2 linked regions of the Notamacropus eugenii genome follow. The protein of the gene in region 1 purifies or fractionates together with the protein of each later gene. This does not show direct contact. Links are inferred from orthologs where the notes say so. Each region holds a gene or a part of one and is shown in the gene's direction. Other genes may lie near its edges.

Region 1 (7,761 bases):
AACGAAACTATAGATTCTAAGACATGGAAATCAGGATGGCATACATTCCTGGCATGAGCCTTCATAAGGACTGATAGATGTACTGTGTTGGTGGAATCAGCAAGGCAAAGTATCTGATTAAATGTGGACAGTAAGAGTTGGGAAGTGGAGATTAATTTGATTCAATGAGTCTAGGGACTTTTAAGACAAGTCGAGGAACTATAAATATTCTCCACTCATACAGCCTCTGTCCCATTTCAGGCTTTCGATACCTCTTGCATAGATTATTGTAATGGCCTCCTAATTAGTCTCCCTGCCTCTAAACTTTTTCTTCTCTTTTGTTTCTCTTTCATCCTCCACACAGATGCCAAAATGATATTACTAAAACATAGGTCCGACCATGTAATTCTCAATCAGAAATCTTCAGTCGATCCCCGTTTGTTCTCCTCAGCCTGGCATTCATTGCCCTTCAAAATCTGTCTCCTACCTACCTTTGCAGTATTATTTCATATTATGTCCCTTCATTCATTCTCCTTTCCAGTCAATGGGCCACTAGCTGTTTCCCATATTTAAGTTAATATGGTTTATTGAAGATATAATTTTTCCACAGAAGACTCATTTAGTTGCATGGCAGAAATTTTTGTATGTTGTTTCATCATTAGCATTGCTTTTCTCATTATTCTTTCTGATTTCTTCTTTGACTCACCCATTCATTATCATGTCTCTAGTGAATTCCGTATCTATTGTTCATGATTCCCAAACTGATAATTATTTTTTATTGTGCTATGATCTGTAAAGGATGTGTTTACTATTTCTATCTTTTCCCATTTATTTACACTATTACACTTCCTTAATATAGTCAATTTTTGTACAAATTTCTTGTGGTGTTGAGATATATGGATTTTCTTTAGCCGTCACTTTCAGAAGATGCCATATCTTTCGGCTTTAATTTTTCTGGAAATTTGTTTAATTCTATAAATTTTTTTCATTTTTCTATGTAATATTTATCCAAATACCAGAGACTTTAAGGTCTCACCATTGCTGTGTTACTATCTAAATCTTCTTACAATTTAGTTAACTTTTCCTTTGTGAGGTTAGATGCTATACCATTTGCTACATGTCAGTTTAAAACTGAGGTTGGTTTGTTGTCTGTGGTTCCTATAGCATAATGTACCTTGCTTTTTTATCTCTATATATATTGTGGATTTTTGTTTTTCCTTTATCTGAGCAACTCCTTCTTTTTGGATTCACCAATTCATAGTAAACTTTGTTTCAGCCTCTACATATTCTGCATGTCTTTGCTTTAGACATGTTTCTTATGAACAACAGATTGCGGTGCTCTGTTATCCAATCTGTTACTCTTTCATTTTATTGGATTGTTTAGTCTGTCTACATTTAAAGTTATAAAAGATTTTCTGTTTTCTTCCATTTGTGTTTCTAGTATTTTTTTTTCCAAAATTAGATTTTTTTTTTTTGTCCCATACATCATATTCCATCTTCCACCTCCATACCTTTGCAAAAGCTGTCCTCTGTGACTGGAAATCCCATGTTTCCTTCAAGTCACAGTTCAGGGGCTACCTCCTACATAAGGTGCCTGATCTCTCTGGTTATCAACATTCTCTTCCTCTTGAAATGACTTTGTGTCTTTTACTTATTTGTATGTATATCACTCCTCTTTACCCCAAGTAGAACACAAACTACTTGAGAGAATCGTTTAACTTTTGTCACTGTGTCCCTGGTGCCTAGCACAGTAGGTGCTGACATAGTGGGTGCTTATAAATGTTGAATTACATGGAAAAACTGGGATAGGTACTCAGAGACAGAGATGAGGAAATTGGAGACAGATATATGACATCAGAGACAGAGATGTGGGCTTAGGGTCAGTGACGGGGCTCAGAACTCACAGACATGAGTTCATAGAACTAGAAATCCAGAGATAGGAAGGAGTTCTCAGACACAGAGACAGAAACAAGGGTTTGAAGACAAAGGAGGAAACTTGAGGATGGGGTGGAATCTTAGATATGGTGATGGGGGCAGAGAGATAGGAATTTCAGTGCCAGAAATTGGGAGTCTGCAGTAAGAGATTCAGAGATGGGGGTTGGGACTCAGAAACAGGGATATCACAGACAGCAATGGAAATTCAGAGACAGAGATGAAAGTCCAGATATGGGAATGGGGACTCTGAAGTGAGGATGGGGGTTCAGTTATGGAAACTAGTCCTTGGAAGCAAGGATGAGGATCAGAGTTGGGAGCATGAAGTCAGAGGCAGAGATGTCGAGTTCCTAGACAGGCACTGGAGCAGAGGTTGAGATGGGTTTGAGTCAAAATAATTTAAGACATGATCAGTAGTGGTCTGGTAAATTTCTGGATACAGCCTCAGAGGAAAGAATCAGGATCCAGGTATGGGAATAAAGGATCAGAGATGGGGATGGAGCTGAGAAAGTGACTCAGGCTCAGAAACTCAAAGGGAGACTTTCATATTGGCCTTATAATTAGTCTCTTCTAATGCATCCTCCATAGTGGTACAATCCTAAAGCACAGATTTGCCTAGGCTCCTCCTCTACTCAAGAATCTTCCATGGCTCTCTCTTACTTCTAAGAAAGCAAAACACACTCCTTAGCTCAGCACATTCACAATCTAACTGCAACCCACCTTTCCAGATATTTTTTCACATTACTCCATTCCAGTTACAATCACCTAGCTCTTTCCCCTCTCACTTCTGGGGTCTTTGCTCAGAGTATGCCATGTTCCTGGTGCACTGTGTGCCATGCCTAGAATACACTACCTCTGCACCTACATAAATTCCTAAGTTACTGACTCTAGGCAAGTCACTTCACCTCTGATTGTCTCACCTGTAAAATAAGAATAACAAAAGCACTTTCCTTGCAAGATTGTTGGGAGACTCAAATATTTGTAAAGTACATAGCAGAGTGCCGGGCATACAGTAGTTGCTGAATAAATGATTATTCCCCTTCCCTTCTCCCTTCAAGGCTCAGCTGCTAGGTGGCCTCCTACAGAATGCTTTTCTTGGCTCCTCCTTCCCAAAGTTTGCCCTCCCACCATCCTCAAAGAATATTTTGGGGTCTGGGCTAGTGACTTCCTCTAGGCAGAGAACTCCTGGTCCTTAATACAGAATGACTCACCTGTAAATTTTATTCTTGTATTTCCTGGGCACCGACTGGTTAAGCACTTGCCTTTAGTGATGAGGCTAGTATATATGTCAGAGACTGGAACCTCAGTATTCCTGATTGCAAAGGTGGGGGTGCCATCCCTCATCTCCCTCCAAACACATAATCATGGGAAATAGCTGAGCTTCCCAAAGCCCCTTTTCTCTCATTTGATCCTTCTAGCCTCCCTTTGGTATAGGTCCCATTTTACAGATGAGGAAACTCAAGATGAGAGGTTAGGGGACTTGTCAAAGGTCACCCCACCAGGAAGCGTGTGAGGAGGGACGTGGACCCACACCTTCCCAATGTCCCCTGGTGGTCTCTCTTAGAATGGAAGCTTCTGGAGGGCAGAGACCGTCATTCTCTCTGTATCTACGTGGGGCTGGTGAGTTAGGGGGTGTGAAGACTTCCCCAAGGCAATGAGTGGATGGGCACCATCCGTTCCAAGGCCATGAAGTCCAGCTCCTGAAGCAGGGGCTGGAAGGCCCCGAGGTCATGCACGGCCTCCCCAGCTTTCCCCAGTCCTGGGGACTCTTGACTCCCTGCGCTTCGCTGACTCTGGAGGAGGGAGGGGAGCCCCTCACTGGGGGCAGCCGGGCCTCGCTGGCCAGCCCAGACCAGAGACGTGCATACGGAGAGCATGGGACCCGGAGTGGGGAAGGCTTGGGTTCAGATTCAGCCACAGACCCGCACCAGCCCCCCGAACCCTAGCAAACCATGTCTCCTCGGGCTGCCTCAGTTTCTTCCACTGTAAAACGGGGCTAAGAGCACAACGCCTCACTGCACTTAGCACAGAGCCCGCGGGCACACAGCAGGCACTTGGTAAAGCTCGCTCCCTCCCCTCCCCCTCCCCCGCAGGAAGCAGCCTGGTACCCAGGTCCTGGATTCCAACACTGCGTCTGCTGCCTGCTCCCTGCAACACCTCCTCTGTATCACCAGGAGGCGCTGGAGCAGCTGGGTCTCAGGGCTTCCCCCGCTCCCAGCACCCGTGTTCACAGAACTTGGGGGCGGGGAGAGATAAAACAGAAAATCACTGGGGGTGGCAGGAACAGCAGAGGCTGGCCAGCAGGTGGTGGCCTCCAGCGAGTGCTCTCCTGGAAGGGGGGACCCCGGGCCATGGACAAGGCCTAAGCAGGGCGTCTGGCGCTCGTGACTCGGAGGGGGCTGGAGCGCGCAGGGAAGGGGTCTCCAGCGGCCCTGGGGGGTCATCCGGCTGGACGCAGCGCCCCGGCCTGTGCAGGACCCGCGACAGCGTCCCGCCTCGCAGCCCGGCCCAGGCCCGGAAGACTCCACTCCCTTCCGCCTCCCATTCCGCTCCACGCTGCTCTCTGCGACCACGAGGAGAGCAGGAGCGCCACCCCCCGGATCTCTCCCTCCCCGGCGCCCTCCTTCCGGAGAACCCACGGAGCGCGGAGAACTCCAATTCCCACAATCCTCAGAGACGCCTCCGGGGCTCCGCGGTGCAATGGCTCTGTTTTCGTAGAGTCTCCTTCCGGCCTTGGGGCATCGGGGCGAGTCTCCCTGGGCGGGGAGGCTACTCTGGACTCCATTTCCCGGCGTCCCTAGCCCTCTCACTGCCTCTGCTTCCTCCTTGGGGGCGCGCACCCTTCCGAAAACTCCATTTCCCGGCGGGCCTCGCAGAGGCCACGCTTGCGCAGAAGGGGCATCGGCAGTCGGCCCGAAGATGGCGACGGCTGTGAGGAGGAGACGCTGCCGAGGGCGGCGTGAGGGGGAAGGAGGAAGAGAGAGGGAAAAGAGGACAGGGGGCGACGAGGGAGAATAGAAGAGGATGGGAGGAGGGCGGCCTCCGCAGGACTCGGACCCCCAGGGGAAAGGAAACCATGATGGGGTGGGGGCAGGGGCGCAGAACCTTGTGGAGGAGCTGCTCATTGGGAAGAGGGGAGCAATGGGCGAGACCATCGTGCGTAGGGGGAGACAGGGACAGTACACTGCGAGGTTGGGGTAGTATGTGTGCGTGGGCACTCTGAGGAGGCTAGAACCCTGGGCAGGTAGAAACAACTAGAGAGAGGGGCGCGATGGGCGAGACCATCGTGCGCGGGGGGGGGGGGGGGCCGGAACGTGAGTGAGCCCCGAAGAGGGACCGTGGAGGTGGAGCCTTTCATGGGGACAGAACATGGGGAAGGGGGCAAGGAAGAGGGGTGTATGAACCCTGAAGACAGATCATGGGGGTGGGGGAGAACCCCAGGGTGAGGGAGGCCACTGGGGAGAATGGGGGGGGGGAAGAACCCTGGGGAGGTAGAGACCATGGAGGAGAATGGGGAGAGAGGAGAACCTTGGGAAGGTAGAGACCATTGGGAAAAATTGGGGGGGAGAACCTTGGGGAGGTAGAGACCATTGGGGATAATGGGGGGGAAGAAGAGAACCTTGGGGTGGTAGAGACCATTGGGGAAAATTGAGGGGGGAAGAGAATCTTACAGAGGTAAAGACCATGGAGTAGAATGGGGGGAGAGGAGAACCTTGGGAAGGTAGAGACCATTGGGGAAAATTGGGGGGGAGACTTTGGGGAGGTAGAGACCATTGGGCAGAATGGGGGGGAAGAGAAACCTAGGGAGGTAAAGACCATGGAGGAGAATGGGGGGGAGAACCCTAGGGAGTAGAGAGAAGGGGAGGGGAGAAGAGACCTCTGAGGAGGTAGAAACCACTGGGGAGAATAGGGGGAGCAGGGAGGATGAGGAGCAAGTGTGAATCTTGAGACTGTTACAGAGGCTTGGGGGCCAGAAAGGAAACCCTGGACTGGTAGAGACCATTAGGCAGAAAACTTTGGGCAGAGTAGGAGGAGGATGGGAGAGAGGGTGAGTGGGGATAGCTCTGGGGCTGCAGGTGCTGCTGGGGAGGTTGATGGGACACATTGGGATTGAGGACGGAGGGAGATGGAGGGAGGAACTGTTTAGCTTGTTGGACTGTCCTAGAGCCCAGTGGAGGAGGAGCGTTGTGGGGGTAACCGGTGGGGTGGGGTGTAGGGAATTTAAGGACTGGGAAAGAAATGGTGAGGTGCTGGGGCAAGGAGCATTAGAGACCCTTGTGGGAGGAGGGAAACTATCCTGGAAGGGGAAAGGGAAGGACATTTTTGTAGCTATCAGTGGGGAGGGCAAGAGAGCACATTTTGTCTGACTCTTTGTAGTGTGACCTTGGGCAAGTCACTTAATCTCCCTCAGCCTTACTTTTATCATTTATGAACCGGGGATCATAGTGCCCATAGCACCTACCTCACAGGGTTGTTGGGAGGACCAAATGAGAAAATGTAGGTGAAGCGCTTTCACACGCTTTAGATGTCAGCTGTTACTAGATTTGGGAAGGAGGGAGACACTAGTGGAAGGAAGGAGAAGAGAGAGCATTGGAAGGGGAGAAGGGAGGAGAGAGCATTGGAAGGGGAGAAGGGAGGAGAGAACATTGGAGGGGGAGAAGGGAGGAGAGAACATTGGAGGGGGAGGGGGGGAGAGATGAAGAATAAGGAAGTCTCATGGATGGGCCTAGATTGCATTCTCAAGGGGAGGAGATATCTTGACTGAGGGAGGTGGGAGGAACCTCTTGTGAAATGGGGGGGGAAGGGTGGGGGGGGTGAACTAAATTCAGTCAGCAGCTGTTCAGTGCCCACTGTTAGGGATCACAAAGATGAACAAAAGCCTGTTCTAAAGGGAACTTAGTGTGATAAGCGACAAGCAGGTCAATAGCAACTAAGTGTTTAAGAGAGGACAGGGTGATCTCAGAGGTCCCTTTTCAGTTCTCTCACATTCTGTAAGACCTTCGAGTACTATATAAACGTGAGCAGCTGTTATTCTGAGGGACCTTAGGTCTCTGGAGTGGAGGTTCTGAGGGTTCTTCCAGTTTGGAGGGCCAGAGGACAGGCGAGGCTGGTCTTGCCTAGCAGACTGTTCTCATGGATAGGAGAAGGGCTGGGATGGAGCTGTCTGCTGTTCCCAAAACTGTGGAGGAGGGGAACAAGTGAGATCATCCATTTTATCTCAAGGCCCTGGCTTGGCCATGGACCTTCGATTTATCCTCTGAATCCCAGGGGACTGAGAGGTTCCCCCAGAAGCCCAAAGTAGAAAAGTTGAGGCAGTTCCAGACTGAGCTCATAGGGGAGATCTCAAGGAACTAGACCCCTGGGCCTCAGTCAGGCAGCCCATTCTGGAAACTTCGATGAGGACATATATTCCTAGATTCATGTAATCCCTGGAATTATCTGGTCCAGCTCTTACAAGAGACATCATAGAATAGTGGGAAGCGTCCTGGATTTGGGATCTGAGTGCTTGGTTTGAATCCTGGCTCAAGCACTTAGTGCTTGGTACAGAGGAAAATCCGAGTTCAAATTTAGCCTCAGGTATCTTCCTAACTGTGACCCTAGGCAAGTCACTTTACCTCTGTTTTGCCTCAGTTTCTTCACCTGTAAAATGGGAGTGATAACAGCACCCACCCCCCCCATGAGAATCAGATGAGACATTTATGCAAAGTTCTTCGGCACATAGCAAGTTCTACAGAGGCTTTTCTTGTCCCTGCCCTGGACCTCTCCCTTGTCCCAGGATGTTTCCATCTTACCCCTCCCAGGACAGCTGACCTCAGGATAGGACAACCAGGATTCACATACTAAGACTGA
Region 2 (7,968 bases), on another chromosome or scaffold:
GCATCTCTGGTGTCTAACCAAGCTCTAAGTGTTCCACATCGCCTGCCTCAGCTGCCTTCATGGCCACTGGAACAAACTGTTCTCATCTGCCCATTCCACCAGGGGAAGTCTTCACATGCTTGGAGTAGACACTTCCCTAAAACACCAATGGGTTTGAGACCCCTTGGTTACCCTCAACCTGGTTTGGCCCATCTGCTGAAACGGTTTACCAGGATATGGCCACTGTGTATGCTGAAGCTTCTTGGAGCCACAGGTGAGAGTTGGGTGGAACAGGTGAACACCAAAGTTGAAGAGTCCTGAAAAGGGCTTGGAAGTCATCACAACAAAGGTACTAGACCTCCCTGAACAAACCCTACACCCCACCTGGCACATAGTAGGCCCTTTATAACTGATAGCTATTACAAAAAGTCCTGATAAAAACTGATGAGGCCTTTAACTAGAATGATGGCCATATGAAAAGAGAGAAGGGAAGAGATGAGAAATGTTAAAAGGATTTGGCAATTGATTGGCTATTGAGGATAATTCCAAGGTTACAAAAATATCAGTACTTAAAAGGATTTCCCATTTTTCCACATCCCCTTCAATACTCGTCACTTTCTCCTATCATTTTAGCCAACCTCATAGGAGTGAGACAATACCCCAAAGTTGTTTTAATTTACATTTCTCTAATCAATAATAATTAAGGGCATTTTTTTATGTCTATATAAATGATGATTTCTTCATCAAAAAACTACCTGTTCACATCCTTTAACCATTTATCAATTGAAGAATGACTCACAATCTTATAAATTTGATAAAGTTCTCTATATATTTGAGATGAGGTCTTTACCTGATAAACTGCCTATAGAAATTTTCCCCCAATTTTCTGCTTTCCTTCTAATCTTGGTTACAATGATTTTATTTGTACAAAACCTTTTAAATGTAACAAAATAAAACTATTCAATTCACATTATCAAAATGCTATCTCTTGTTCATAATTCTTCTTTCTATAAGTCTTACAGGCATTATGTTCCCTGTTCTAATTTTCTTATGACATCTCCTTTTATATCAGGGTCTTGTATGCATTTTAGACCTTATCTTGGTAAATGTCAGAAGATATTTGTCTGCACCTAATTTTTGACAGACTGCTTTCTAGTTTTCTCAACAATTTTTACCAAATAGTGAATACTTATTCTAAAAGTTTAAATCTTTGCATTTGTCAAAACGCAAGGTTACTTTGATCATTCACTGAGTACTGCATGTCTGCTCTGTTGCACTCATCCACTTTTCCTAGTACAGGACAGTTCTGATTTATTGCTTTACTATATAGTTTATTACACAGTTTCAGATCAGGTATCATTAAGCCTCCTCCATGTTTTTCTTTTATTAATTCTTTGATATTCTTGAATTTTTGTTCTTCCCAATGAATTTTATTATTTTTTACAGCTCAACACAATAATTTTCTGGTAATTTAATTGAAATGGCATTGCATAAGTAGATTAATTTGGGTAGGATTGTCATGTTTATTATACTGGCTCTGTCCACCCAGGAGCAATTAATATTTTTCCAATCATTTAAATCTGACTTTATTTGTATAAAAACTGTTTTATGCTTTTGCTCATGTACTTTTGGGGTTTTTCTTGGTAGATATACTCCCAGGTGTTTTGTACTGTCTACAATTTCTTTAAGTGGGGTATCTATTCTTGCACTTTTTGTTGATGATATAAAGAAATTCTGATGATGTACGTGGGTTTATTTTAAATCTTGCTACTTTGCTAAAATCAATAATTATTCCAACTAACTTTTTAATTGAATTGCTAGGATTTTCCAAGTATATCATCCTTTCATCTTTAAAAACAGCTTTATTTCATTGCTCATTCTGATTCCTTCAACTTCTTTTATTCCTCTAAATGCTCTTTACTAGCATTTCTAATATAATACTGAATAATACTGGTGATAATGGGCATCGTTGTTTCACTCCTGATCTTACTGAGAAGGCTTTTAGCTTACCCAGATTAAAAATGATGCTTACTGATGGTTTTAGGTAATACTTCTTACCATTTTAAGGAAAAAATCCACTTATACCTATGCTTTCAAGTGTTTTCAATAGGAATGAGTGTGGCATTTTGTCAAAAGCTTTTTCAGCAAATACAGATATAATTATATTCTTTTTGTCACTTTTGTTATTGACATAATCAATTATATTAATAGTTTTCCTTATGTTAAACTATCCCTACATTCCCAGTACAAATCCCATTTGGTCACCATGTACAGTTTTTTTTTTTTTAACACTTCTATTGAGGGAGGGCAAAGGAGATGCATATAACTGGTGGATGTGGGTTACATAAAAACAAAATATATCAATAAAATTTTATTTTTTTAAAGAGTTTTTCTTTAATAGTAGTAATTAGATTCATGGGATTTTGGGGGGGGTCACTTTTGGACTTTTTGATGTACTTTGTGTTTATATTACATATATTTACAATTTACTCTCACGTCATGAGAAGTCTCTCAGAACATGGTAAAACAGTTAAGTAAAACCAATGATACAATGACATTTGAAAGTACATGTAACATTTCACTTCTGAATCATCCTCCTTTTTTTAGATGAACACAAATCTACTTTTTCTCTTTACCATGGGTCCACCCCATTGGGGAGAGAAAGGAAATTTAAAAAAAATAGAAACGAAAGGGATCTTAGAAATTGTTTAGTTCAATCCTCTCATTTGACAAAGGAAGAAATTAAGGCCAAGAGAAATGAAATGATTTGTCCCAAAGTTACACAACTATTATGTAATAAGATTAGAGGTGGTGTGTACCTAGGCAGACCCCACTGGCCATTACAACAAACCAGTTTGGGGCAAGAATTAGGAAATATGCCCTCAGGGGAAGGTAGTGCTGGTGATGACTTTTAGCTCGGTTAAAAATAAAGAAGGGAAATTAAATAAGCTAACTGAGAGGTAGGGAAGATGTGCTCCTGGCTTTTGTCTCACTCAGATACCCCTCCCCTTTGTTCCCCATAACCAGGAACCAGAGACTCTTGAAACACCGAAATGAATCTGGAGAATCTACCCTATGAGATTCCAACAGCAGACTACGAAGGAAAACATGATAAAAGTGCACAATCCAACAAAACAATTCGGAATGATAGGTCAAGTGATGTTTATCCAGAGATCATAGCTGCAAGGAAGTCACTAAGAATAGGGTAAACACAAATCCTCGGCAAAGAAACAAAGCTATACAGAGAAGGCTACAGAATAGTACCTTCATAGACACAGTTATAGGACACGTTGTAAAACAAAGTCTCTTCCCCTACTCCTGTGAAAATTTTTTAAATAATCATTTTCTTGGATACTCATAGCCTTCCTCAGCCCCTTCTTCCTGTACACCCCAAAACCCAACACCAGGATTTGTTCTAAGAAAGAGACAAATGATTAGGTCCGGTCTTTCACAACCTAGCATCATGTATAATCTTTGTGATATGTTGTTGTAATCCCCTGGCTAATATTTTATTTAGAATTTTTGCATTCATATTCATTAAAGAAATTGATCTACAATTTTCTTTTTCTGTTTTAGCTCTTCTTGGTTTAGATATTGGCACCATATTAGTTTCCTAAAAGGAGTTTGCTAGGACTCCTCTGTTATTCCAAATAGCTCATTTAATACTTGAATTATTTGATGTTTAAATGTTTGGTAGAATTCACTTGTAAATCCATCTGGTCATGATGCTTTATTCTTACAAAGCTCCTTCATGGCCCGTTCAATTTTTTTCTGACTCTCAAAGTTCACTTGGAGGCCTTATTTTAAATTGTGGGTGAATCTGGTGCCGTATTCTACCATCTTCACGAACCCTCTTCCCTTCAGCCTGGCTTGCCTTCCACCGGAGAAGAGCCCAAGTCCGAAGCGGACAACTTACACAACAGCTGTCTCCGTCTGACACACCAAGGTACCTTTCAACGCACACGATTTAAAAGAGAAACAGAACGCAGCGGGGAAGACGCCTGAGCCCCTGACGCCACCACCACATTCGGGGTGGATGCGGACGCCCTGCGTGGCCTCCTCGAGCCGGGGGAGGGCAAGGACGGCCGGCGGGCACGCTCGGTCCGTGCAGGCTGGGCGGCGGACCCGAGGGTGTACGGCCCCTCCCCCCGGCGGGCCCTCACATCCCCGAGAAGGCCCTAGCAGTGATCATTAGCGTTTCCTCCAGGTTCTCACCGCCCCCCCCAGCACACAGAACCCTCGGGCACCCCCTTCTCACCCTGAGCCCCAGCCACGGAGGCCCTGAGGATCAGGGAAGACACGCGGCTCCTAGGTTCCAGTGCCAGCTCGGCTACTTAACACGGGGGGGGGGGGCTTTCTCCCCAAGAGCCTCAGTTTCCTTCTCTGTAAAAATGAGAGGGCGGGGCGGGCCGGCTCTCGGGAGGTCTCTCCCGGCTCGGAGTCCGGCGGCCACCGCCCAGATCCACGGAAGAGGGCGGTACCAATTCTCCTTCGCCCCCCTCTCCTCATCCCTCCATCGCTCCCCACCTTTGTTCCTGGTCGCTATAGCAACCAGAGGCCTACCTAACCCTCCCCCACGCGGAGACCAGCTTCGGAATCACGATTCCAAGCCGACGGAGGCTGGCGTGTGGCTGCGGCGCTGGAGGCGGGAAACCGAAGGCCCGCGCCGAGGTGCAACGGAGAAACAGAGAGAGAACAGCGCAACGGGGAGGAATGGGGAGAGGGTCCTCACCTACGGCCACCGCTAAGGGTGGAGGCTCCGGGATGGAACTGTTTTCCGTCTCAGTCCAGAAGCCGGAGGCAGCCACTCCCACTCCGCTTTTTTTTCTTTCCCTTTCCTTCCTTCCTCTCATCTCACCCCTCCCCCGACTCCGTCACCATCCCCACCGCGCAGGCGCAGAACTCCTTTCCCAGCCCCGCCCCGCGCGTTGCCCGGCTTGAAAGGAAGCAGCCAAACCTCGTGGGTCTGGCCCGCACCGGAAGTAAAGTCCTGAGCGTCTTCGCGCCGAGACCGGCGACGCCGGAAGTGGTGGTCGCAGTGCCGTGGGAGCAGCGGGGGTGGGCGTTTTTGCGCTGTCGCCGCTTTGTGGTGGTGGTCGCGGCTCGTCGGGCCCCCTCTCTCCTCATCCCTTTCCCTGCCCCCAGAGATGTCGGCCATCCCGGCCGAGGAGAGCGACCAGCTACTGATCCGACCTCTGTAAGGAGCCCTGGGGAGGGAGAAGCTGCGCGCAGCCGAGCCCGGGGAGGGGGGCGGGGGAGGCCTCGGGGAAGGCCGCGGGGGCTCCTGAGGCGGGGCCTCCCAGCCCCACACTCTGCCCGCGCCTGTGGGCTCGGCCTCATTCACCTGCGGATCTCTACCACTTCCTTAAAAGCCACTTTGCTCAGGAATCCCTCCCTGATCCCTTCCGTGGCCACCGCTGGTGGCAGGGCCTTTTCCCTCAAACTTGCCTTGACACTATTTTGCGTGGCTCTGCGCCGCAAGATCCCTTTGTGTTCATTGTCATCCCCACCCCTCGTCCGACTGAGCTCTGAGGGCCTCTCTGTCCTGTCTCCCCTGCGGGCAGGAGGGTTTGCCTTGTGTGATCCACGAGTGAACCGGGGACTAAAAGACATGGTGGCCAAAGACCTCCCCCCCCCCCCCGCCGAGTTGGCCGAGCTGGAGTTTCCTTCCACGTGAAGGCGAGGGGTTCTGACTCCGCGCCTCTCACAGGGTCGGTTTCTTTTTGAGAATCCAGAGGAAGAATTTATACGGAAAGAACTGTAAACATCCGAGCAATTATTACCTGACAAGTGCTGGTTAAGTTTCTGTTCGGTATTGAGTACCTTGTCTTTCGTTAGGAGTCCTTGCCTTCCCCAGAGACATGTAAACAGAAGGCAATTGTTTGTGATCTGGTATGTGTGAGGCACGGTGCTAGACTGGCTCTGCCCGTAGGGAAGTTGGATTATAATTAGAGAAATCATGCATCTATACATAAGTCTGATGCTAGGTAAAATATGCCATGTAGGAAGGAAATATCCAGACAGAGTACTAGAAGAAATCGGAGGAAGGTGAAATCTCGTCCAGGTGGAAGGAGGAAAGTAACGCACCAGGAAAACCTGAGTTAAAATGTAGCATCACTCAGGTAATAGCTGTGTGACCCTGAGCATTTCATTTAATTTCTTTCTGCCTCAGTTTCCTCATCTCTAAAATGTGGATGACAATAGCACCAGCTACCTCACAGTGTTATGAGAATAAGATAATATTTGCAAACCCTATAGGCCTATATAAATGCCAGATATTATTATAGGTTGGTGACACCCAAATTTGGCCTTAAAGAAAGGGAGAGATTTCAGCAGGCGCATTTTGATGGCAGTCAGTTTCAGATGTGCAGAAAAAACATAAAGAAGGGAAAAGGTAGGATGAAAAGGCTTCCTGTAAGTGAGATTTTATCTGGTACTTGGAAGCAGAGATAAAGAGGGAGAGCATTTCCTTGCATGAAGAACAGCTAGTGAAAATTCCAAGTCTAGTGTGTTTTGTTCAAGGAACAGAAAGTATTACAGTGTCACTGGATCAAAGGATATCTGGTGCTAGGAGTGGACTGAGTGTTAGGTGTAAGAAGGCTAGAACTGATGATCTAAACAGCAAAAGTGGAGGGATTAGTATTGGAATAAAGGAAGGCTTCATTATATTTTGAGACTGAAGGCAAGGAGTTGAAGTTTAGAGAAGTGGAGAAGTCACATTCTTAGACTCACAGTTTTGGAGCTGGAAATGACCAAAGAGGTTAGCTAATCCTGCCTCGTTTTTTGCAGATGAGGAAACTGAAACCCAGAGAGAAAGCATAGTTTGATTTATTAGTGTAGTTTTGTGCTGCTTTTAACATTTTGCCTTAATACATTTGCACAGATGTTTATGTTTGTTTCTTGTTATTTTTTTTACAGTGGGGCTGGACAAGAAGTAGGAAGATCATGTATTATTCTGGAGTTCAAAGGAAGAAAAATAATGGTAATCATTGTAAAGTATACATATGTGTATATACATATATATACATACACATATGTAGTATAAATCTGTTAATATGTAAAACAGTCATTTTTATTTTTTGTAAAAGCATTAACATAATTTTGGGAATATCCTACTCATAAATGCAATAAATTATGTTTACCTAGATCTGCCAACCAATTATCTTTTTTATAATAAATTCTAAAGAGGTTGTCAGTTCTGCTTCTGTGGGTTGGAATTATGTGCAAAGGTTCCAAACAGGATTCTAGACATTTGGTGAAAAAATACATTAAAAGATAGACAGTGTGACTAAGCCAACCTTCCTCTCCAACCAAGAGAAGTTGGTAGATTATACAAAGTTAGTGTCTAACCTGAATGCATGAAACAAAGCCTTAGCTCCTTTATTCTGCCTCACCTCCAAGAGAAACATTGTAGACTTAACTGGTTTTTTTAATGGGTTATGGGTAGATCCTCATTGACGAAAGATCAGAAATTCAGACTGATGTCTAATGTCCATGAAGAAAATTTTTACCAAATTATCCTCAGATTCTTTGGAAGGGTTCATTTGCTATTCTGTTAATGAGACATTTGGGAAGAGTAGGTTCAGGGTCCACCTTTGATACTTCCTGTGTCACCACGAACAAGTTACTTAGTTTCTTAGTGCTTACTTGAGTACTTACATTTTTTCACTCTGTCATCATAAATGTCTTACAAACAGCTAGCTTTGCATTTATTTTAAGAAGTCAGTATTAAATAGATGAGTAGAATCTGTCACCATTATATTTTGTCCATATTAAACATGACAAATTAATGTCAACTTAAACATTTTTTTCCATAGACACATTTGTACTATATATTATTCAAAGATATTTTAATGAATTTTTTCCCAATTCTTTCACAGTTGGATTGTGGAATTCATCCTGGCTTAGAAGGAATGGATGCCCTTCCGTACATCGATTTGATAGATCCTGCTGAGATTGATCTCCTCTTAATTAGTCAGTAAGTCTTAT

The links.
Region 2: the proteins of SYMPK (region 1) and CPSF3 fractionate together in Homo sapiens (co-fractionation; 6 studies listed by BioGRID and IntAct, with this or other methods). This does not show direct contact. The link is inferred for Notamacropus eugenii from reciprocal best matches to the Homo sapiens genes SYMPK and CPSF3.

The regions. Positions count from the first base shown.
Region 1 is NC_092876.1:27,829,685-27,837,445, reverse strand, and holds the start of SYMPK (symplekin), read left to right. Parts: upstream 1-4,736; 5' UTR 4,737-4,830; coding exon 4,831-4,842; intron 4,843-7,469; exon of another isoform or gene 7,470-7,488; intron 7,489-7,761. UniProt on the Homo sapiens protein: Scaffold protein that functions as a component of a multimolecular complex involved in histone mRNA 3'-end processing. Specific component of the tight junction (TJ) plaque, but might not be an exclusively junctional component. May have a house-keeping rule.
Region 2 is NC_092872.1:549,754,405-549,762,372, reverse strand, and holds the start of CPSF3 (cleavage and polyadenylation specificity factor subunit 3), read left to right. Parts: upstream 1-4,877; 5' UTR 4,878-5,126; coding exon 5,127-5,176; intron 5,177-5,762; exon of another isoform or gene 5,763-5,897; intron 5,898-5,984; exon of another isoform or gene 5,985-6,101; intron 6,102-6,897; coding exon 6,898-6,961; intron 6,962-7,859; coding exon 7,860-7,957; intron 7,958-7,968. UniProt on the Homo sapiens protein: Component of the cleavage and polyadenylation specificity factor (CPSF) complex that plays a key role in pre-mRNA 3'-end formation, recognizing the AAUAAA signal sequence and interacting with poly(A) polymerase and other factors to bring about cleavage and poly(A) addition.